4 linked regions of the Arabidopsis thaliana genome follow. The protein of the gene in region 1 interacts with the protein of each later gene in a pairwise test. Each region holds a gene or a part of one and is shown in the gene's direction. Other genes may lie near its edges. The genes, in order: AT3G28220, MEMB12, AT5G19570 and DiT1.

Region 1 (6,810 bases):
GTGATCCTTAGAGAAAGGTTTATATGATGTGGGAGCTGAGATGGAGAGTCTAGCAGGTGAGACACGCACATGTGTGACCATATCAAGTAGCTATGGAAATGAGATTGAAGTCATCAAAGCATTTTTAAAAGGATGTGAGAAGGAGATTGGAGAGCTCAAAGCCATGAACTTTTGTAGTAAGAAAGAGATTCAATCTCGACGTTACTTCAAAAATTTTATCGGGTGTAGTTTAGTTATGGTTTGTAGTCTATGTTTTCATCTTTTAAGTATGAAAAGTTAGTATGAGTTTGTTGAGTTAAGAGTTCTGATTGTATTTTATTGGATTGAGTTTGAGTTTCAATTGAAAGTTGTTGTTTGGGTTTTACATAACACAAACATTGGGCCTTAATGGGCCAACGAAATTGGCAAGGTGAAGAAGAACAAAATGTGGGCAAAAGTTTGTTGCTCATTTAAGTCACCTATATATGCATTACAACGTACGACGTATAGTGGAGGTAGGTGAGAAAAGAATCTAAAAAGAGTTCTAGAGAAGAGAGATAAAAGAGCTTCCTAAACAAGCTTTCTTCTTCCTCTTTGTTGTTCTTGAATCTTTGTTCTTCTTGAGTGCAAATCTGTAAAACCAAAAGACATCATCACAAGTTAGTGAAGCTTGGGAGCAAGAGATCTCCCCCGAGACCCCGAGACGTAGCGGTTGAGGCCGTGAACTCGGTTACCAATTTCTGTGTCTGTTTATTTTCTTACCAAGCAATCTCTATCACTCTTTTCTCCACAAAAGTAATGAATAAATAACATAATAATGTTGTATATAACATACCAAACCCGAGGCAATTACAAGACAAAAACCATTATCCTACAAATTAAAAATTCAAGACAAATAGCCAAAAACCATAATCTATATCTTGAAGCCGAGATCATAGTCAAAACCATCATCCCATCATGTTACACATAAATCCGATAATCCAAATTAAAACCATCATCCTGAACATCATAAGTTTCCCAAACCAAAAGCTTTTACACAATTAATCACTAAGTGAAATTTGTGATACTTGATTCGGACCTTGATAAGAATGAAAGTGTAATCCTTTGTATTTCTTATCTATCAATCCAATTACAAAGAATCAAAACCCTAATCGATAAGCTTGAAGTTACAGTTCTCCAATCTTATCTCCTAAGAACAGAGCACATGCATAAGCCCTAATTCTACTCACAACATCAATATGATCACGAAGGATGCTTTTCTCTCTACTCTCTCTTAGACTCTTACTATTTATAAGTTTCTTCACACGTGACTCCGATCTCTCACTTCAGTTCTCACACGTGCCAACTTCTCATGAACGTATCAGACCTTCACCAAGTTGTTTTGTGGCCGACTTTTAGCTTGGATTCCAACATTAAAAATGTCATTCTCATCATCACCTCCTCTAACATCATTTCCATCATCACAAACTCGAGCATTCTCACCATTGACGTTTTCACAAGCTCTTTTCATCATTACATTCTTCAAGAATCTATTCCTTCTCCGTAAATATAACAACCGCTTTTGTCCACTTTGCAGCTAGACACATTCTCTCGAAAATATCATCTCTAGTATACAACGGTTCAGCTCTATAAACTTCTCAAAAGGAAGCTTATACCGTATCCTTTGCCCAAACAAAGACAATCCCACCGACTCCATCATGTTATTAAAAAAATTTTCTTGCATGCACACAAGTGTGTGAATCTGGCCTCCATCATATGTAAAAACATTACCGTCTGTACAAACAAAAAAAACTATTTTTGGCGAAAAAATTATCGTCGAAATATTGTTGGTAGGAAAAACACAATTTTATTTTGTTAACTTTAAACATTAAAAAAATAAGGATATATGGTTATTAAAAATTAAAAGAGAGTAATGAAAATGAATTACATGAAAGGGTAGAATTAAAAATGAGTAGCATTGGAAGGTCATTCCTAATAATTTATTTATTATAAATTCTAGATATTTATAAAATAAAAACTCAAATATTATTATATATTATACTATAAATTAATAAAAAATATTTTCTACAAATAAAAACATTTTTTAAAAATTAATTATTAAGCATTTAATCGATAGTTTTGATACGTATATAATAAAATATAGTTTTTAGTCTTTGTATTGATTACTGAAGTTCTACATTATAGCTAAAGCTAAAGCTAAATCCAAAAACAGAGGCTAGGATCGGAACAGAAGAACAAAACTATGTTGTGGTGTAGAGCGTTTGGGTCCATTTCTTGTTGTTAGCTAAAGCTATGTCTGGAGTGTTTGACGTTACATGCTAAATTTAGGTACAACTTAAACTTTTGTCTTTTTCTTGAAAACACGTGTTGAACAAATCTTTTCTGGTCGATAACTCAAGAAATCTTATCTGGTCGCAATCCATCTTATACCGACGTGAAATCTCAAGACACGTGAATATATAACTTGTTCATAATAACATTATCACTTTTATCGAACGCACAAAAGATCCTCCGCTATAAATATTTGTGGTGAAGAACTCTTTATACCAAACAAAAAAAGCTAAATACCAAATAAATGTTGGTACTCATCATACATATATAACTAACTCACCTTTTTGGTGTGTAGATAAATATATCTAACTAACTCCATTACATATTCCAGTCATTTGCTTATAAATTATAACCGTCACACTTACCAATTCAGTCACTTAACCAAACATGTCTGAAAAGGGGTTGATAAAAAAAGAAGACCACATGTTTCAAGAGGAGAAGAGAAAGACAAACTATGGAGCAATTGGCTTGGCTTGCTTCATTTCTTGTTTCTTTGCATTCCAATTCATGAAAATCGTAACAACACAACCTTCAACAACAACAACATCATCCATTGCCGTTATCGATAGCCCAATGTCCTCCCATAAGCTATCTGATAGGAGAGAAATATGGAGAGTTATCCCACCATCTACCTATTGTCTCAAAATCGAATCTTTCATAAAATTCGCCACTTCTCCAAACGCCGAGAAGTACGAATCCCGTCCTTTTGAATCCGGTGGATACAACTGGTAAGTAGTATTTTATCCTACATTTTGCATATGTCTTTGCATCACAAATTTTCAACGACACATTTGATTGTAAGACTATATATCCTTTTGCAAACAGGACACTTATTGTCTATCCTAAAGGAAACATTAAGGAAGGAGCTCCACTTAATTACGTTTCAATGTACGTCCAAATAGACAATTCAACACTCCTTAACTCTCCAAAAGAAGTTTACGCAGAAGTCAAATTCTTCATTTATAACCGGAAAGAGGACAAGTACTTAACATATCAAGGTATATACATCCGAACGCCCTATTTATATCTTATTTATAAACTATATTGTATTAATCAAATTTTCAACGTTTAAATTTAAAACAATTGAGACGCTGATAGTTTGCATAGTTTCAAATGCCAAAATTTGCATTTAAAAACACACAATCTCAAACGCATGTCTTGGTACACAGAGACGGATGCAAAACGCTTTTTTCTGTTCAAACCATATTGGGGATATGGTAATGTTAGACCCTACACCGACGTGGCTAATCCCAATGCTGGTTGGCTTTTCGACGGTGACAATGTTTTATTCGGTGTGGACGTATTTGTCACTGAAGTTTTTAACAAATGGGAAGTGTTCTCATTCACTAAGAGTTTGCATGACCGCCTTTACAAATGGACGTTACCCAATTTCTCGTCACTAGAGAAACAGTACTATGTCTCTGACAAGTTCGTGATCGGTGGGAGAAGCTGGTGAGTTCCTCATGTCATAAATTCTTTAAGCCACATATTGATACTTAGTCCTGGATGTTCGGTTATCCATTCCGTTATCGGTTTTTTCGGTTCTAAAGTTATTATCTATTTGGTTATTTTGAAATTTCGGTTTGGTTCTTTCGGTTTTAAATTTAGTATCCATTCCGTTATTTTGATTTGAATATTTTCGGATATTTTAATTATTTTTGGATATTTCGGTTATTTTTGGATATTTTTGATTATTTTTGAATATTTTAACTATTTTATATATATTTTTAATTATTTAGTTTAAAAATAACTAATATTTTTAATTATTTAGTTTAAAAATAACTAATATTTTTGGAAATATATTTATATTTCAGATATTTTGGTTATCCGGGATATTTTGGTACGTAGCCATTTAGTTTCGGTTCTTTCGGTTCTTTCGGTTATATATAGAATTTAGTATCCATTTGATTATTTTTTAATTTTTGATTCCGTTCGATTCTGTTATTTTGTTTCGATTTTAGTTCGGTACATTCGATTAGGTTTATTTGCGCAGGCTTACTAATACTGATTCAAGAAAAAATTAACTATTTACAATATTTTAATATACAACTCTTAGGGCTTTGAAAGTGTATCCAAGTGGCGATGGCGAAGGACAGGGTAACTCGTTGTCGTTATATGTTGTTGCGGTTGATGTTAAGCCGTATGACAAGATTTACCTAAAAGCTAAGCTACGGATTATAAACCAGAGAGATTCTAAACACATGGAGAAGAAAGGTAAATTATATCGAACCATAATAGTGTGGCTAATGTTACTTACTCTATTAATTTTTTTCTTTTAGAGTTTAATTAACACTAACTTAATGACAGTTGAAAGCTGGTCGGATCAAGCAAACAGTTGGGGATTCCAGAAGTTTGTACCATTTGCTGATCTTAAGGATACTTCTAAAGGTCTTCTTGTGAATGATACATTGAAGATGGAGATTGAATTTGAAGATTTCTCTAACACAAAATACTTTCCAAGTTAAGTTTTGCATAATGCAAAACCAGAGAGCTTGGAACCAATTGTGTTCTGTTTTTTAAGTGTTTTTGTGCTAATAATTGGAGGATTGGTCTTCCTAAGGTTTAGGAGCCTATCTCCCACTTTTCCCAATTCCCTAGTTTGTAGAAATCGTTGATTCCAAGCTAGCTTTTCTTGTACTTGTTTCCTATTTAAATAAATGAAAACTAAGAATAAAAGCAGTCTTAATTTACCATTGAAAAACTCTTGTTCTTACTTCATTCTAGCTGCGACTAAGACTAACACTAACCGTGGAATAACACTTCTAAAATCAACCGAATAAGTTTGCGCGTATGATAGTAATTTGAAATAATAACAAGCTTTGCGCACCAACAATAAACATCGATCATGTTCTTAAGTTTCACGAGTGCTTCTTTGTTATTTGCTCTCTTTCATCTGTTTGTTACTCTATTATTTCTCTGGTTATGTAGTGTATATAATACATATAGATCTACCAAGCAATTCATAATGTATAATATATCTGCCATGTATACTCTATGTAAATTAAGCTATGTAACCAATCCATACTCTTCTTTCATTGTATTTTTAACAATCATCAATAAGCAAATCAAAATTACCAATATCTAATACAACTCGTTCCTTTTAGGAAATAAATAAGAAGCAAAGAAAATACTCTCTACTAGTTGATGAAGGCTTGGAAGGGAGATGACAAAACGTACGTAGCAAATCAAAGAGGAAAATCCAACCCTATCCACACAGTTTTTGGCTCTTTGCTTGCATCACAAGTCACAAAGACACATTGATTCTAAAACCATTCATTTGGAAACAGAACACTTATTGATTATCCTAAAGGAAACTAAAGAAGGGAGCTCCAACTCTGGATGGTTTTAACTTTACGTCCAAATAGACAATTCAAGATTCCTTAACTATCCTAAAGAAGTTTAGGTTAATAAAAAAGTTTTGCTCTTCCTACAATCTCTAGTGTTATCAAAATCTCATAAAAAAATTGTAGACAAAATAAAAATAAAAAATATAAGCCGCTGATGTTAAGCCCTACGACAAGATTTACATAAAAGTTAAGCTACAAATCCTCAGCCAAAACGATTCTAAACATGTATAGAGAAGAAAGGTAAATAATATCAGAAACATAACAGTTTGAGTAATTACTGCTTACTTTGTTAAGTTGCCCTTTTCCGTAATCTTATTCGCATTCGAAGCTTGTCGGTTGGAGGCGAGGAAGGGATCCGATGCAGCCAATGCGGGAGAGCAAACCTGGAGAAACATGGGTTAAAGAGGTGTTCAAACGGGCTCCAGTCTCCAGCAAAGCTCATAATGCGACCATCGCTACTATATTCCAACTTCTTGTGACGCCGAAACTTGCCTTTGAGCAAGCTAGTAGATACTAAACATTTATGCATCTCACTCCACAAATACATTTTATTAGCATCAAAAGGGTTTATTGCCAACGGAAAGTAATCTAAACCACTCTTGATACAAGCCGGAGATATTTCAGATACTATTTCCCATTTCCCACTCTTTAACCTCCATACACATAACTTAAGCCCTAAACTTCCATCATCTTTTTCTTCATTGATAATTTTCATATACATAAGAGATCCTTGGGATGTTGTGAAAGCTCTTCTAAAATACACATCGTTTTCTAGATGAGGGAACTCTATAACTCTGCATTGATCAGATTCCGTACCAGTAGCATATAAATTGTGGGATACAACAAGGTGATCACGATAGTTGTTGTAGCAAAGCCAGTAAAGGTTTCCATTCAAGCTAACAGGATTGAACCAAGCAACACGCTTCAAAAGATAAGGAGATTGGACAGTGTTGAAACTCCATAGGCCTGTCTCAGATGAATATATGAGTAAGCTAATGTCGTCGGTATCGGTGGTATCTTTCATCAGAACAACTTTGTAACCTAAAACGACGCCGTTTTCTATTCGTGTTGCAAGTCCAGAAGGTTTGTATATATCAGCTCTTCGAGGCAGACGAGGAAGAGGAGGTCACATTGTCGTGAAATTGGATTAGCA
Region 2 (5,901 bases), on another chromosome or scaffold:
AAACAAATTTAGTAGGATGACATGAAATATCTTTGAATTCATCATCAGTAACTCAGTATCTCTTATGTCTGTCTAAACTGTTTGTTTATTCTCAATCACTTCTACAATTGGAAAACCGTTTTCTGTTGGCTTCCATGATGTGATTTGGAGTTTTTCATTTTGTTACAACTCTTTTTAAATATCCATTTTAGGCGATTTTAGAAGTAGTGGCTCATGAAAGTTTGTATACAGATATGGTTATATTAGTTTATCTCCAATGATCTTATTGAACAAAGGAAGTCATTCTTCTCTCATACTAGTAAGTCAGTAACTTACAACTCTAATGTTCCACGGCATCTATTTACTCGGTAACTAATTTAGTTTGATCCTTCAAGAAATTTCTCAAGTTTTCTTGTGCATGTTTCTTTTTACATCGAGGGCATTTTGTGAGAGGTGATATATATGTTATTAACTTCATTCATTTGAAACCCTACAATACCATTTCTTTGTTGTTGTTATGACAACAGAATCTGATCAGTTGAAATCAAGACGAGCAGATACATGATGAAAATCGAACAAAACAGAGGAAGAACAAATGCGGTGAAACAACAGATACAAAGTCAAGTAATAAATACAAATATAAGCTTCAAGATGTTGCAAAATCTACAAAATCCAATAAACACTCCTTAGAGGTCTAAACAAAGAGCCTTGACTCAATAGAACAGTATCAGAGTAAGACTTTCCAGTAAGAAAAGAAAAAAACATTCTAAGAATAGTAACAGTATCAAACTCTACATTGCTGCATTCACAAACAAGTGTAGGCAATACTATTCTACAACAAAAAAAAAATACAAAAAATCAGAAGATCTAAATAAAAAACTAGAGATGAAATCTATGGTTCATGTGATGTGATCTGATGTTTCCTACTTGGACCTCTCCTGGTACAAAAATACACAATCTTGATGTCAAAATCTCAAATAATTTAGTTTTTTTTGTGTGTGAAAAGATTGGAAAATATTTGATCGTGTACTTACTTGTTCTGTATGGGGCTATAGCGACTCCTCGGGATTTTCCGTAAGCTATCTCCTTCACCTCCAAGAGACTTCTGCTTCATCTCTTTGCTTATTTGCAAATCTCTCAAATCTCTATGTCCCTCTATGTGAAACTTGCTGCTAAAGAAAGCTAACAAAACCAGAAACAGAGCTATTGAGATCGATCTTGATGGATGGAATCTCTTCATTTGTGAATTCTCTTTTAGGTCTTGAGAAAACTTTTAGGTAGAAATATGATGAGTTAAAGTCTTAAAGAGAAGGAGATAGAGAAAGACAACTTGTAAAGCTTGTTGGCTTTGTAAGATATGTATGTATTGTCCTGCGACTTTTTTTGAGATCTGATCACGTGAATTAATTTTTCTTCTCCGAATCATTTATTTCAGATGCTGAGATATTTTTTTTATCTTAATCAACTAATTTATGGAACATTCACTGATGTTGAGAGTGTCCTCACTTTCATACAAGCACATGTATACACGTTTATTTATGTGTTTACCAATATTAGTAAATCCAACTTCATGAGATCTCAAAAGTTGCAGGTAAAACATTAACAGGCTGTGTTTTGTCTCTATGCTAATTGCTAAGGCATCAACATTATTTTCATTCATTTTTATTTTTGTTTTCCTAACAAGCTTTATAGGGACGACTGGACGAGCGAGAAGAAGACAGTCAAATATTTGGGACTTGAGTCACTTGCATGGGAAAATTGCAAAACAAAATTTTCATATATTTGAGAGTTTGAGTTTTACGTACTAGAGAAAGTTTTATAAAATTTAAGATCTTCTTCTAATCAAACATATTTTTAACAATGTAAACTAATACAAATTTTCAATAATTATTTGCATTAAAATCGGAAACTAATAAATAATAAAAAGAATATATCTTTGTCAAATTGTTTTAGGTGAAGCTACTACTACTATACCTTGGAACTTTTTCATTAGCATGGGCTGCGTTTCTTTTACAACTGGCACAATTTTGAAAAAGTGAAACTTATATATATATATATATATATATATATATATACTTTTTTTTTTATATCCACTTTTTATGAGAACGTTATGATGTAAACAAAAGAACTTTAAAATATACACACCTAAAAATCGTATTTAAGCTAAATCTTGCTGGAGTAATAACTATGTTAATCAAACCATTATATGGACAGCTTGTTTGATCAATCTTTGACCATGATAGTGTCAATCCCCCAATGATCCCGTAGAGGCTAATTAGCAATTCCTTAATTTTTTATCGTTCGGATTTATTTATTTTTGTTCAAATTACCGGTCGAATTGTTTTTCTTTTCTGAGCTCATATTTAGTGTTTTTAGTGTTTTTGAACTCAAATTACCGGCCGGATTTTTTAGTGTTTTTAGAATTAGCTCATAAATCTGAACTCATATTTAGTGTTTTTCTTTTCTTTTAAATTCAAAAGACATTTTATTTTATGAGAATACTAAAAACCATACAATGTACATATGATATCCCTTTTTTTTTATAAAGGAAAATAACCATGAAAAAATAGAAAATACAAAAGATGGTTTTATGGGAGATTTGCCATTTATGAAAAGGGAGAAACCATTGTGATTACTAGAAACAAAAAAAATATCGTGATTTTTAGAACATTTTTTTTCTTTGATTAATTTGTTACATTTCTTGTGTTTGTTTACAAAACCGAATTGTAAACAGAACCAGCCAAGCGCGTCTGCTTAATTGGGATTTGTTCCCGGTTTAAGTAAACCAACTCCTTGCTATTCTTTTTTAATCCCTCGCAGAATTTCTCATCCGATTTTCACAAACTTTCCTCGGATCTGGTCACGAATTGCTTTGTGTAACAAATTCAAATTCCAAACCCAAGCAAGCCTCCATTGAACTGGTACACGGATAAATTTTTTCTAAAGCTTTTCTTAGATTTCTCTCAATGCGATTTTGTTGAATTTCTTGGTTTCAGTCGATCGAATCAAATGAATTGCCGATTAGATGTTTTCTTAACATAATTTCTAGGATTTTGATCGAATTGCTGGTTCGTGATCGAGTGATTTGTCTGGATTAGATTTTAAGTTTTATGCAAATCTTGTTGAAAGGTGCTTAACTTTTGATTCAAGTTTTACTTAAGAGCCAAATTATAGGTCAATGTCATGTAGATTACTATTAATTCTTGAGTAAACTGGTTTAAATATGTTTTTGTATATATGTTCCAGATTAGAAGTTGATATTGATATAATTCAGCAAAGAGAAGAAGATTCTGCGGTGTTCTTGGTCACTTTGTGGTTTGTATAATGGCGTCTGGGACAGTGGGAGGGTTGTCTGAGGTATATAGTAGTGCAAAAAGGATTCTACTAAGAGCTCGGAATGGAATCGAGAAGTTGGAGAGGTTCGACTCTGATCCTACCGACCTCGCCTCCTCCGTGAAACGAGACATTACCGAGGTTCAATCTCTTTGTTCCAATATGGACGGTCTCTGGCGTTCGATCCCTGTCAAATCCCAGCGTGATCTTTGGAGAAGGTGAGGAAGTTTAGATCATCAAAATAGCTGAAGTAGTGGTTAAACTCTTGAGCATTTGGATTTTTTTTGCTGTAGGAAGAGTGAACAAGTAGGAGAAGAGGCTGAGTATTTGAACCAAAGTCTAGAGAAGTACATGTGGAGGAATCAGAGGAAGATGTTGGAAGCTAAAGAGAGAGCGGATTTGTTAGGTAGAGGGAGTGGAGAAGGAGCTCACATTTTGCAAATATTTGATGAGGAGGCTCAAGGAATGAACTCTGTTAAGAATTCAAAGAGAATGCTTGAAGATTCGTTTCAAAGTGGAGTTGCTATTCTCTCTAAATATGCTGAACAAAGGGATCGTTTGAAGGTAACCAAACCCTAACTTAAGCTTTAAGTCAATGAAGAAAACAGTTTTTTAACATTGGGTTTTTGAATTCTCAGAGTGCGCAGAGGAAGGCTTTGGATGTTCTGAACACTGTTGGGCTCTCTAACTCTGTATTGAGGCTCATTGAGAGGCGTAATCGTGTTGATACCTGGATTAAATATGCGGGTATGATCGCAACGCTTGTCATATTGTATCTCTTCATAAGATGGACACGCTAGAACCAGAGAACTTTAATTACATTACCATAGATTGTATGGAGAGAGTTTTGTAACACGTTTTTTTGTTTTGTTTATACCTCTTACAAGACATTTTCAAAACACTAGTACACATATTCTCCATTTCATTTGCGTCTAGTATGCTCTCGATTTATGCCAACTTTTCTTCCCCAACTTTTGATGTGTTCCTCCTATATCCGAGAATGATGTATTGCTCGCAGTGTAAGAGAACTTGTTCAAAACTTCTCCGAGACTGCAATCGTTGTTTAACACAGAAGCTACTACATTTGTTTGGGTCATTGCTTCGGCGACTAACATGAGCTTCAAGACAGTTCATATTTAAAGTGATTCGAAACAGTTGACTTTAGCATCATTGTATTAATGGTCAATGTTTTTTTTTGACCAAAATAGTCAATTCCCCAAAGGTCTGATTATGACAAATACCGAACCGGGATAGGATAATTATAATTAAATACAGAACCGACTCAACTGGAATAATTTTGATCCGGTTAAAGGAAAACCAATCTCCTTTTGATATTTCGACACTCTCTCTTTCCTCTCTCCTTGTCTCTGTACCGCGTCGAAATATGAGAAACGAATGATTTGATCATCAATCAACGAGAAACACACACGGAGAAAGAGAATCTCAAATTAGCTCCAGCTCCTGATCGATTCCGATTTTCACAATTCTTTCCTTGGATCTGCTCTTACCTTGTCACGATTTCACTTCCCTGTGTTTTTGATTTATACTTGGTCATCCAATAACGAAACTTTGATCAAACTGGTACGCCGATTATTTTCTTTCTTTCTTCTGATTTTCTTAGATTTCATTAACTTGATTGACTCAAAATCAATAGGGATCTTTAGGGAATATTCTTTGATATGTTTTGGAATTTTATCTGATTGCAAAATATTTGTGTGTATGTTTGTTTTGTTTAATTGGAATTTTAAGTTTTTTTTTTTGTTTTCATCACAATTTCATGGGTTTAGGCAATTTTGTTGAACGGTGATCTTTTTTTGTGTGTGTGTATCAATTTGTCAATTTGTATTTAGAACAGATACTTTAAGAAGTGTTGCTTCTCTATATGTGACTTGAGATTGTAGTAATAGCTTAACTATACGGCAATGTCATGGAGTAGATTATACATGCTTGTTCATGTCAGTTTTCCAGATGTATGACTTAAGCAGGATGGTTTCTTTATCGAAGATGACCTTAATTTGGTTTATGTTACTGTCATTCATTTCATACTTAAAGGTTGGATTATATTTTCTACAGTTTACAATTCGTTGTTTTGGTTGACAGGAACTACAGTTTATTGGAACTCCCTGAAGCATTTAGATGGCAGAAAAAGCTTGTATAAAGCGTCTTCAAAAAGAATACAGAGCGCTTTGCAAGGTATTATTTTCTTCTTATTCTGTTCCCATCCTTGATTTGTCTGTCACTGGTATCATTCTACCCATTCGATTTTCATTTTTTTTTTTATCAAATGTGGTTTCTTTGCTCTATGCTAGTTTTCATGGTTTTTGGTCTAGGATAAGTTTTTTTCTTATGAATGTTACTTTGGAAGTATCTTTGACATGTTCTGTTCTGGATTGCTAGGAACCAGTCTCGCATGTTGTTGCTCGTCCTTCCCCAAATGACATTCTTGAATGGCGTAAGTCTTATCTGGCTATTTAATGTTCCTTTTCTTTATTTTCTGCTTTCTAGTTATTCTATTGAAGGTTTGGCTATGGGGATACTGGCTTTAGGTACATATAGCGTGTTGCTATGGTGACAGAGATACTATTGGTA
Region 3 (4,899 bases), on another chromosome or scaffold:
TCTCTAAATCATTTATTACCCGCTTATATATATTGACCGAAATAAGAAGTCCTCATTTTATAAATTATATATAGACAGGAAAATGATATTATTGCACGGAAAAAAATTATGTGATCCGCAATAATTAATTATTGCTAAATTTGATAACCACATAAACGAATAAAATGTTATCCCAAAACCACAATGAATTAGATGTATTAATATCTTCATTAGATGTATTGTATATAGCATAATGAATTGCATTTAGATTGCATTTGTGTAAGATGCATGGGTTGGATCTGAAAATCAATTGGTAAGAGTAGAATTACCAATATCGTTGTATAAAGATGAGTTCTTTAACTAATATTTATATATTTTTGATAACTATTTAATTAATATTATTCTATGTTGGATTCCTTACATAATCTTTGTATTGATATCTGTTTCAGACATGGAAGTGATGAAGGAAAGATTCGCAAAACTGCTTCTTGGAGAGGACATGTCAGGCGGTGGGACAGGGGAGACCTCTGCGTTAGCTTTGTCAAACGCCATCACCAAACTCGCTGGTAAACCTTTAACACTACTAATATGATTAAAACATTAAATGTCTAATAACGATTTGAATGGTTAAAATAAGTCACAAACTAATTAATGTGGCTTTGGTATTGGCATGCAGATTCGATGTTTGGAGAGCAGATGAAATTGCAGCCTATGTATCCGGAGACAAAAGAGAATTGGAGGAAAGAAATGGGTTGGTTATTATCTGTGATTGATCACATTGTCCAGTTTGTTCCTTCTAGACAAATGGGTAAAAATGGCCAATTCACTGAGGTGAATGCATGCAACTGTTAGTCATTAATTACGTACATATATAACAACTACTAGTCTACTAGTGACGATTTTTCTTATTAACCCTAATTTTCTCCTTTGTAGATCATGGTTACAAAACAAAGAGATGATTTGCTGACGAACATTCCAGCTTTACGCAAACTTGACTCGGTTCTTCTCGTGAGTTTAATTACTACTTGATTGTTTCAACCGCGGTTTCAACGTTTGGGAAAAATTAAACCATTATATTATATCAAACACCACATCGTTTCAAAAATATTTTGTTTGCAACAATATCCATGACACTAGGACAAACTACTATATATACTACAAGTCATAGTCATCTTTGCAAATTATAAAGATAAATATAACTGAAAACGTCATAACACCAAGAGTACCATCTCATTAATTAATTTCATATAGGAGTGCATGTATTATAAAATGATCATGATATATATATATAACAAACAAAAATAGATGAGTTGTGACCATTTATCATACTAATGCAATTACTCATTTGGCAGGAAACTTTGGACAACTTCAAGGATCAGAAAGACTTTTGGTATGTGCCAAGAGATATGGAGGATGCAGATCACAATGGAGATTGGAGGAGGGATGAGAACTGGTGGTTACCAGTTGTTAAGGTTCCAACAGATGGCTTGTCTGAGGAATCACGTAGATGGTTGCAGAATCAGAAAGATTCTGTGGCTCAAGTCCTTAAAGCCGCCACGGCCATCAATGCTCATGTATTGTCTGAAATGCACGTTCCTGAAAACTACATTGATTCCCTTCCAAAGGTTACTTACTTCTTCTTCAAAAGTGTTCTGTTTCTTTACAATTTCCACTAAGCTAGGAAGCTGATGAGGCTGTTGGTTATGTAGAATGGGAAGACAAGCTTGGGAGATTTTCTTTACAAGAGCATAACAGAGGAGAGCTTTGATCCTGACTACTTTGTCTCTTTCTTGGATTTGTCAACGGAACACAAAGTACTTGATCTAAAGAACAGGATTGAAGCTTCCATGGTGATCTGGAAGAGGAAGATGTGCCAGAAAGAGAAAGACGGGAAATCTCAGTGGGGATCCACTGTTAGCTTAGAGAAGAGGGAGCTTTTCGAAGTCCGAGCTGAGACCATTTTGGTTATGCTCAAACAACAATTTCCTGGGATCCCACAATCCTCCCTTGAAGTCTCCAAGATTAAAAACAACAAGGTAACATAACATAACAAAGACTAAACAAACATCAACAAAAATGTAGTGAGACTGAGTAAGAGTTTGTTGTGATTTGATCTTACAGGATGTTGGACAGGCGATTTTGGAGAGCTATTCAAGGGTACTAGAGAGTCTTGCTTCAAAGATAATGTCAAGAATAGAGGATGTTCTTGAAGCCGATCGGCTAGTTCAAAGACAGTTGATGGGAGAGGCAGAGACAAGATCAGAAAGCGAGGCAGAATCAGAATACGAGGAAACTGAAAAGGTGGTTGCAGCGGAAACACCAAACTCGAGGAAACTATCAGACTTCATAGGGTGGAGATTGTCATCTGATACTAAGAAGCATAGTTCAATGAGTGATATAGAATTCTTCCACAAAGTTGAGCAGGAGAAGGAGAAGCCCATGATGAAGTCTCCAAGAGCTCTACCGAAGAAATTTTCATATCTAGCAAAGTTAGAGAACATGAGAAGCCCTAGTGACAGACACTGATAGTGAAAAGAGAAGGTAATAGAACAGGGCATAGAAGAAGAAAAACACAAAGAGAGTGAGAGAGAGAGAATAGAAGAAGGTTAAAGTGTGTGAGAATGTACATATATAACAATGCAGGCATTGGTTTTAGGATTTGGACATGAGACTTGGTGTTTGATCATGATTGTTGCTTGTTTTGACTATTGCTTCCTGTTGTTTTTTCTAAGAAGGAAGTGTGATTCAGTGTGTAACAATATTTTGGTATTTTTGTTCTTTGGTGTTTTGTATTGTAACGTCTAATCTACAACATTGTTTCCTAATGGATTTTGAAGCTCATTGATAATGACTAGTAGTGTAGTAGTATTGTAATGAAACATTATTTGATGACGACATGTAATTTAGTGGTTTGTGATAATACCATTGATCTGTGTTTACCATCCGGACTATTCAGGTATTCGGGTCCGTTATTTGGATTTTTAAATTTTTCGGATCGGGTTTAGTTCGGTACCTTTCGGGTTCGGGTCGGTTCTGGATATCCAAATAATTCTTCTTTTTGATCTCCTTTACTCAACATTTAGTGGTTAAAACACAGAACAACGGAAAAGGCAAATCGGGATCAGCCACCGGCGATGAAGGAAGACATGGATAAGATGGTGGCGGTAGGGCTCGTATGGGGAGCCACCAATGCTCTGATCCGTCGTGGCGCTCTTGCCTGGGATAAAACAAAGTCTTCTTCGACAACAGAATCTCATTCTCCTCCTCTTCAGATCCGCCGCAAAATCATGATTGCTCTCCGCGACTGGATCAATCTCCTCCTCTTCTGGCAATACTCAATTCCTTTCCTCATAAACCTCTCCGCCTCCGCCACATTCTTCGCCCTTCTCAGTCACGCTCCCATCTCTCTTGCCGTTCCGGTGACTAACGCCACAACCTTTGCCGCAACCGCCGCTTTTGGGATCCTTTTAGGGGAAGAAACTCAAATCGGACTTGCTTTGTTAGGTACGAGCTTTATTGTATTTGGAATTTGGCTTTGTGTTCTGTGAAATTCGAATTTTGTAAAACCGTGACTCTGTTTCTGTGAGATCTATTTTGCGAAAGAACTATTTGTGTACCATCTTTTGAGAATTTTAGCTAACTCTCTGCAATATTATCGAAGGTAATTAACATTACTAGTCAATGAAACAAACAGTGACTTGCAATGAACGCATCGAATGATTTATACGCAAAACCGAACTAGTGAAGAAAGAATAGAGCCAAAAGTAATAATAAAAGAATTTCTCCAATACAAAATTTAGTCATAAAAACTCACCGAAAAGGTTTACATGAACGGAAAAGTTTATAGAAGTGAAAGAAAACACAAGTAATTTGGATCCATTAATGGTGGCATAAACAATATATATAGAAGGAAAAAAAAACTGATATTATGTGATTGTTTTATATTAAGATGTTACGGTCATAAGACAAAATGGGTAAAAATTATCGTCATTAGACGACCTGAATCCATTCTCCAGTGCTGGGAACACCTTTGTAGATGGCAAAGATAAGATAGTAACCCGGTGGAGCGATGTTTCCATTTGGTGGTGCAACGGCCTGGATATCGTAACCGGCACCAGCAGGTTTGACATTATTGACACCCAAGATGAGCATCCTCATGTTCATTGAGATACTGTGTGTTGTGAAGGCAGGGGCTAACATGGTAACCTTGAGATTTCCCTTGGTTGCTCCCTTTTCTTTAAGGTCGACCTTCACGTTGAAGAATTGTCCGTATTTGACCTGTTTTGGGGTGCCGGTGGTGACGATCTTTGGCCTTATGTTGGCTAGAGCCGGGTCGAGGTAAGGTGGGGAGAATTTCTCAACGCGAAGCTCCGTTGGGAACTCAACGTTGTACTTGTAACCGTCGTTGGTGTTGCTGCCACCGACAAGAACCTTACCGTCTGGAAGAATGATGGCGCTGGAGTGGTACATACGTGGGATGGTGGTGGGCTTGAGCTGTCTGAAACGCTTGCCACGTGCAGCATGGGGCTTGTACAAGAGGGGAGCAAAGGCAGGGTCTTTACCATATCCCCAGCCTGAACAACCACGTTTAGCTCCGTTGACTAGAAGGATGTCTCCGTTAGGGAGGATGACAGTATCACTCATGATTCGTGGGGTTGGCATCATCTCCGTCTTCCATCGTGGCTTTGCGCTGTTGATCCTTATCCTGGCGCAGTCTTGTAGTGCTGGTTCGTATATTTTTTTACCAGCCTTGTAATACGCGTCTTGTTTGGAACCACCACAGACGAGAACCTCGGCTGGGATGACCTTGGGGTTTTTCACGTAAAGTTGGATGGGGAGGAGTGCGGAAGAACCTGATCCCGGGTAGTTACGGGCACCACCTGGGAGCTGAGGGAACTCCTTGATGACTTGGTTTGTTTT
Region 4 (7,097 bases), on another chromosome or scaffold:
AGATGAAGAAGGGACTTTGGTCTCCTGAGGAAGACTCAAAGCTGATGCAATACATGTTAAGCAATGGACAAGGATGTTGGAGTGATGTTGCGAAAAACGCAGGACTTCAAAGATGTGGCAAAAGCTGCCGTCTTCGTTGGATCAACTATCTTCGTCCTGACCTCAAGCGTGGCGCTTTCTCTCCTCAAGAAGAGGATCTCATCATTCGCTTTCATTCCATCCTCGGCAACAGGTTTACATTTTTACCATCATTTTGGTTTTGACATAATAACAACAACTAAGAGATAGAATAAAATATGGAAACTAGTGGCCGGAAGATAAATATAAATGTTCTGGCAAACTAGCTTTTGTCTGGTGAGTCTTGTTTTTAAACTTGTGTAGCTTAATTTGTTTTCGGTTAATGGGTACAAAGTTAAAGCATAGAAAAGCCAGTCAACTGATTTTAAAAAAAAAGTCCACCCTAAAACGACCAAATTGTCAAATTAGATCTTGATAACGTTTTCACCATATTTTATTTGATTTTTTTTTTCTACCAAATAAATAAGAAGTGCAGAGCTATCTATTTAGAGGTATAATATCTATGTTTGTTTTAAGGACGAGTTTTCAATTATACTATTACATTAATCAGTAAAAAGTAATACTATATATATAAGATACGTTAACATCGTAAAATGTATAATCAAACTTACGTGGAAGGATAAAGTTTGGTCGAGTTTTCATTGGTACGATTAGTAACTGTTTAAATTCAAAGGGAAGAATGATTGTGTACGAAGAAAATTGACCCAAAAGAAAGTTGAATTAGAATAATAGTAGTAAGAATGGAAATAGACGCATAAAACCAAAATAGGTATGAGTACATTCACATGTAATTATGTGAGTGGTCAAAGTTCGTTGATCGTGGGTTTTAAGACTTAGAGTGCGTCTTATGATCTTATCTAACAACAAACACTTATTTTAGTGAAAGCGGCTTTTGTCACTTTACACACCTTTTCTTCTCTTCCTTAGGGTTTTACTTCAACTTTCATCTTTGTAATTATATATTTATTAGTTCCTTTTTTTGTCACTTTCTCCAGAAATATACGTTCTAGTGTTTTTTACGCAGGACATGTTTCCTCTCTATTTATATATATATATATATATATATATATATATATATATATATATATAGATTCAATTCAAAACACGCAGTGTGTATAATGTCATTTTATTGCTTAATATGATTGTGCAATTTTATAATTGTTGATATATTGCCTCTTTTTCACGTACTCAAACATAAAAAACATGAAGAACGGATCACTCTCTAATTCCCATGCAAACCATGCACTGGTATACATTTTACATAACATCATCTCATTAAACTATTCTACTCTCTTATTCTTCGATTTCATAGGTGGTCTCAGATTGCAGCACGATTGCCTGGTCGGACCGATAACGAGATCAAGAATTTCTGGAACTCAACAATAAAGAAAAGGCTAAAGAAGATGTCCGATACCTCCAACTTAATCAACAACTCATCCTCATCACCCAACACAGCAAGCGATTCCTCTTCTAATTCCGCATCTTCTTTGGATATTAAAGACATTATAGGAAGCTTCATGTCCTTACAAGAACAAGGCTTCGTCAACCCTTCCTTGACCCACATACAAACCAACAATCCATTTCCAACGGGAAACATGATCAGCCACCCGTGCAATGACGATTTTACCCCTTATGTAGATGGTATCTATGGAGTAAACGCAGGGGTACAAGGGGAACTCTACTTCCCACCTTTGGAATGTGAAGAAGGTGATTGGTACAATGCAAATATAAACAACCACTTAGACGAGTTGAACACTAATGGATCCGGAAACGCACCTGAGGGTATGAGACCAGTGGAAGAATTTTGGGACCTTGACCAGTTGATGAACACTGAGGTTCCTTCGTTTTACTTCAACTTCAAACAAAGCATATGAATATTTTTACGTCATCTTATTCTTTTTTCTATTGCGGTTTATACTCAAGATTCTTAGCCACACACACATAAATGCAAATATATATACATTGTTAGAGAGTATTTTGTATTTCGAATAATCTTTTCGTACTAGGGCTTGAGCCTTGAGGTGCCATGTAATGATTAGTCAATGTAAAACATATATCCTATAATAAATAAATAAAAGAAATAATAAGCACATACATTCTTTAATATAACAGGGGCAAACACTTGAAGAATTTTGTAATCAAGTAGCAATGGAGAAGATTGAACTAATTAAATGAAAGTTTTTCTGATGTTATATCTTTGGATAAAACTGAACATTTTGTTTTATTGAATGTACTTTAAAACATTTGGTAACTTTCTTAGACATTCACATTAGAAAGTATCCTCTTACATAAAAGAATCATGTATTCAATATTTGATGTCACACCTTACTCTAAACAAACAAATCAAAACTATGAACCATATAACACTCAAAGAAAAAAAAACGAGAGGCCGCTTAAGGGTTTACACTAGATTTAATTCCAAGCGAAGCCATCTCGGCCCATCTTGGACAATGTAATGAAAGCTACTATTCTATTGCCAGTTAATCTTTCATTGGACGATCCACTAGTAAACGCATAGTTTAAGATCTTTCAAAACCAAAAAACAAAGCTAATAAATCAATAGAAAATTTGTTGAGTGAAGGATTTTGCTTTGTATGTTTCGTCGATCTAAAAAGACCAAACCCAAACCCAAAATGGCTTTTCGTAAATATTTCAGCCAATAGGATGAGGTGACTGACCCACCAAAGACGGAGATCTCTATTTCTCACCTCACGATCTCATCTCATCATCACTCTCTCTCACTCTTGTCCGTATATTCCTTTTCTTAATCTCACCGTCCGATTCCAATCCAACGGTCAACATTTATCCAACTCTCTCTTTCCTCTTCTTACTCATTTCCTTCTTCACTTCCCTCTCCTCTTCACACCTCTCTCTCGCCGACGACGCTACAACCATGGCGTCTCTCGCTCTCTCCGGCTCCTGCTCTCTCGCTTTCCCTCTCAAATCTCGATCTCTCTCTCTCCCTCGTCCTCCTTCTTCCTCTCTCAATTTGACGAAACCTCTCCGATCTCTCGATTCTCGCTTCTCCTTACTCAAATCTCCACTTCCCGTCTCTTTACGCCGGAGATCATCAACTCTCGTTAAAGCCTCTTCCACCGTCGCTTCAGCTTCCTCTTCTCCAACTCCTCCTTTGGTTCCAGCTCCGGTTCCATGGCAAGGAGCTGCCATTAAGCCTCTTCTCGCTTCGATCGCTACTGGTTTGATTCTATGGTTCGTTCCAGTCCCCGAAGGTGTCACTCGCAACGCGTGGCAATTACTCGCGATCTTCCTCGCCACCATCGTCGGGATCATCACTCAGCCGCTTCCTCTCGGTGCTGTTGCTCTAATGGGATTAGGAGCTTCCGTTCTCACCAAAACCCTAACGTTCGCCGCCGCGTTCTCCGCTTTCGGAGATCCAATCCCGTGGCTCATCGCTCTTGCCTTCTTCTTCGCTCGCGGTTTCATCAAAACCGGTCTCGGTAACCGTGTAGCTTACCAGTTCGTTAGACTCTTCGGTAGCTCCTCCCTTGGTCTCGGTTACAGTCTCGTCTTCAGTGAAGCTCTTTTAGCTCCGGCGATTCCTTCTGTCTCGGCTCGTGCCGGTGGAATCTTTCTCCCGTTGGTGAAATCTCTCTGTGTTGCTTGTGGGAGTAACGTTGGGGATGGAACAGAGCACCGTCTTGGCTCGTGGTTGATGCTTACTTGTTTCCAGACTTCTGTGATCTCTTCTTCTATGTTCTTGACGGCTATGGCTGCGAATCCTTTGAGTGCTAATTTGGCGTTTAACACGATTAAGCAGACGATTGGATGGACTGATTGGGCTAAAGCTGCGATTGTACCAGGACTTGTGTCTTTGATTGTTGTTCCGTTTCTTTTGTATCTCATCTATCCTCCTACGGTGAAGAGCAGTCCTGATGCTCCTAAGCTGGCTCAGGAAAAGCTTGACAAGATGGGACCTATGTCTAAGAACGAATTGATTATGGCTGCCACTTTATTCCTCACGGTAAGTGTGCTTCTGCTTCATCGGATCTGTTCTTACTTATGGTGAGAGCTTGATTTGAAAGGTGCTTCAGTATTGAACATTGAGAGATTTTAGCTATTGTAGCTCCTTAGATTAAGCTAGGGCTTTGCTTCTGTTTAATGCATTTGCTTTGAGTGAAAATGTTTGTGGTTTTGGTGTTTTATTACAGAGAAGGTTTTCCTTTTCTAAAAAAGTGTTCTCCTTGACACAGGTTGGTCTCTGGATCTTTGGAGCTAAGTTGGGTGTAGATGCTGTGACTGCAGCCATTCTTGGATTATCAGTCCTTCTTGTGACAGGTGTTGTGACATGGAAAGAGTGCTTAGCTGAGTCGGTCGCATGGGACACACTCACCTGGTTCGCTGCTCTCATTGCGATGGCTGGTTATCTTAACAAATATGGTCTCATTGAGTGGTTCAGCCAGACCGTAGTCAAGGTTTGTTAAATGATTTGATGAATGCTTAATAAGCCTAATGACTTAGCATGCTAATGAAATGTTTTGACATTGTTTGGGTTTTGATTGCAGTTTGTGGGAGGATTGGGTTTGTCATGGCAGCTATCTTTTGGAATCCTCGTCCTCTTGTATTTCTACACTCACTACTTCTTTGCTAGTGGAGCTGCCCACATTGGTGCTATGTTCACTGCCTTTTTATCGGTTTCAACCGCTCTAGGCACTCCACCTTACTTTGCAGCCTTGGTTCTTGCGTTCCTTTCCAACCTGATGGGAGGATTGACCCATTATGGTATCGGGTCTGCGCCTATCTTCTACGGAGCTAACTACGTGCCGCTGGCTAAATGGTGGGGCTATGGATTCCTGATTTCAATAGTCAACATTCTCATCTGGCTTGGTGTAGGTGGTGCCTGGTGGAAGTTCATTGGCTTGTGGTGAGGACCACCATACACCAATCTTCCCATTCTTTTCCTTACTTATATATATAATCTCTTAGAACGGCTTTGAGATTCAGATTTGAGAAGGATTGAAATCAGGGTTATAAGGATTGAGCAGAGTTTTTCTGCAATTTTTATTCTCACTCACACACATTTTGAAGTGTAAGCAATCTTAACTTGCGTCAATTTTGTTTGATTTCTAACTTTACTGTTTCAAAGTGAGACCACCACTTTACTTGATAGTTACTCGACTTCCATAAACGTGTTAGTTGAGAGATTAATGTCTATTAGTCTATGAATCGCTGGTTAAAGTTTAGTGGAAAAAACAGGAAAGCAGAGAAAGCAATAGGAAATGAATGAATCTTATTAGCTGAAACAATATGTTATTATTTCTCATACAGTGTTCTTTGACAAATATGAAGGAGATATTAGAAACAATTGACAAACTGAGAGGATACAAAAAATGTAAATCAGAAATCCGGGAAGTAATAGAGGCGCACTTTGGCCATTGTTACAACAGAGATGATACAATAATTAATTTAATGAGGTGATAAAAATAAGAAAGTAAAGAAATTTCAGAAAGAAGCCTGAAAAAACTGAGCCTTTTAGGGTTATTAGAATCGAAAAAAGCTTACCCGGAGTTTGCTTTTGTTTCCGTTTGCTTTCTTGAATAATAAATAAACGAATCATCAGTTTCACAGCTTCACAGAAATGTGAACCTCTCTCTCGCAGCTGAGGCTCAGCGATCTAGGTGCAGCTGTTCAAGCCACGCATCAAGAATGTCGCTCTCACGAGTGTCACTGTTGTGAGGATTCACACTCGAACCACCTTGAGTCAATGGCCTTGCACCATTCATGTTCACAACACGGTTTCCGTTCCTAGGTGATGAAGAGTCTTTTAACATCTGCTGAGCCCATGAAACATCTGCTTCCCTGTTTGGGTTATTAGCCAAGGAATGAGATTTTCTCAACCGACCTAACTCATCTGATTGGACTGACCAATCCACCTTGCTTCCATGGGTCTGGTCCCAACTTGACCATGGACTTAATGGCGAACCAGAATCAGTCGGCATTAAATCACGGGGCAGACTAGATCCAAAATCACGGGAGCTTAGGCTGCGTGAATGTAGCTGCTGTTTCATTCGAGCATTCATTGGGGAAATAGGCTCTCCGCCTCGGGGTGACGAGGCTTGCTGCAGAAGAGAATGTTGCTCCACATTCTTTGGAGAAGACATTAGATTTGTCTTGATAGGAGAAAGCATGCTCTGCTTATTATTCTGCAGCTGATTAAGAAGCGCGGACTTGTGGGAAGGCGATAGAACAGATGAAACAGCAAGTTGATCAGAGAAACGAGGAGATGCAACCTCAGCTGAGAAGAGTTCCTCCAGATTTGAAGGGTTCAGTGTCTTAGGACGAGCGGAATGATTCATAAAGCGTGGACTGTGCATATCGCCAGCAAGCTGACGTTGCATTTCAAACTCATGCAGCATGCTAAGCTGCTCAGAAGGAATATCTCTAGCGTTAAGAGAAGATCTCAGACGACTCAACTGGATATTGCTTCCAGGAAGATTCAACGCCGGTATGTTCTGCTGAGGCCAACCCATCGATGAATGGGGCATACTACCATTTCCAGAAGGAGATATTGGTGGGGTGAACGAATGTTGAGCAGCAGATGGTGAGCCTGGTAACATGTTCAAAACTGACGCCATGTCCATAGTAGAGGCGGAAACAGCAGACGAAGCCCGAGGAGATGGCAATCCAGATCCTGTGGAAGGGTACAAGGGACGCAACTCCTCATTTGCGTGAGCAAAGAAGCAAACCCTTCGGTTGCAACCCATTCCGTCCTTGCACAATCGTGTTCTGTACTGAGCAGGGTGTAGCCAGCATTCAAAAACCCCATGAGCATATTCACACATATCACCTTGCTTACAGGATCCTTTCTTAAAATCCGGGCATGGAACACACGTATAGTGAAACTTCCTCGGGTCTCTTCTCCTTGCATTCTCACCTGGGTGTGCAAATGGACATTCAGTCCAGTCATGGGAATATGCTCGAGAACATGGGCGGATCTTGAACGAGAACATACGAAACTCATCGGTTGAATAAATCCCGCTTTTGATATCAGGCAATGATGG

The links.
Region 2: the proteins of AT3G28220 (region 1) and MEMB12 interact in a protein complementation assay, tested with the Arabidopsis thaliana proteins (one large-scale study listed by BioGRID).
Region 3: the proteins of AT3G28220 (region 1) and AT5G19570 interact in a protein complementation assay, tested with the Arabidopsis thaliana proteins (one large-scale study listed by BioGRID).
Region 4: the proteins of AT3G28220 (region 1) and DiT1 interact in a protein complementation assay, tested with the Arabidopsis thaliana proteins (one large-scale study listed by BioGRID).

What each region holds. Positions count from the first base shown.
Region 1 is NC_003074.8:10,521,723-10,528,532, forward strand, and holds AT3G28220 (TRAF-like family protein), read left to right. Parts: upstream 1-2,458; 5' UTR 2,459-2,697; coding exon 2,698-3,038; intron 3,039-3,135; coding exon 3,136-3,308; intron 3,309-3,479; coding exon 3,480-3,762; intron 3,763-4,366; coding exon 4,367-4,524; intron 4,525-4,617; coding exon 4,618-4,775; 3' UTR 4,776-5,011; downstream 5,012-6,810. Other genes in the region: AT3G28216 (uncharacterized protein), read right to left, coding at 1,556-1,702; AT3G28223 (F-box family protein), read right to left, coding at 5,947-6,755.
Region 2 is NC_003076.8:20,535,855-20,541,755, reverse strand, and holds MEMB12 (membrin 12), read left to right. Parts: upstream 1-2,759; 5' UTR 2,760-2,900; intron 2,901-3,196; exon of another isoform or gene 3,197-3,225; 5' UTR 3,226-3,303; coding exon 3,304-3,530; intron 3,531-3,605; coding exon 3,606-3,876; intron 3,877-3,950; coding exon 3,951-4,112; 3' UTR 4,113-4,330; downstream 4,331-5,901. Other genes in the region: AT5G50443 (uncharacterized protein), read right to left, coding at 872-917, 1,014-1,219; UBC33 (ubiquitin-conjugating enzyme 33), read left to right, coding at 5,449-5,505, 5,710-5,764. UniProt on the Arabidopsis thaliana protein: Involved in transport of proteins from the cis/medial-Golgi to the trans-Golgi network.
Region 3 is NC_003076.8:6,603,626-6,608,524, forward strand, and holds AT5G19570 (uncharacterized protein), read left to right. Parts: upstream 1-2,938; 5' UTR 2,939-3,113; coding exon 3,114-3,527; 3' UTR 3,528-3,696; downstream 3,697-4,899. Other genes in the region: ROPGEF10 (ROP uanine nucleotide exchange factor 10), read left to right, coding at 429-545, 656-810, 913-987, 1,332-1,604, 1,689-2,015, 2,101-2,505; AT5G19580 (glyoxal oxidase-related protein), read right to left, coding at 3,970-4,899.
Region 4 is NC_003076.8:4,057,794-4,064,890, reverse strand, and holds DiT1 (dicarboxylate transporter 1), read left to right. Parts: upstream 1-2,601; 5' UTR 2,602-2,971; coding exon 2,972-4,060; intron 4,061-4,289; coding exon 4,290-4,511; intron 4,512-4,601; coding exon 4,602-4,964; 3' UTR 4,965-5,040; coding exon of another isoform or gene 5,041-5,041; 3' UTR 5,042-5,312; downstream 5,313-7,097. Other genes in the region: MYB46 (myb domain protein 46), read left to right, coding at 1-232, 1,391-1,952; AT5G12850 (CCCH-type zinc finger protein with ARM repeat domain-containing protein), read right to left, coding at 5,703-7,097. UniProt on the Arabidopsis thaliana protein: 2-oxoglutarate/malate translocator involved with DIT2-1 in primary ammonia assimilation and in the re-assimilation of ammonia generated by the photorespiratory pathway.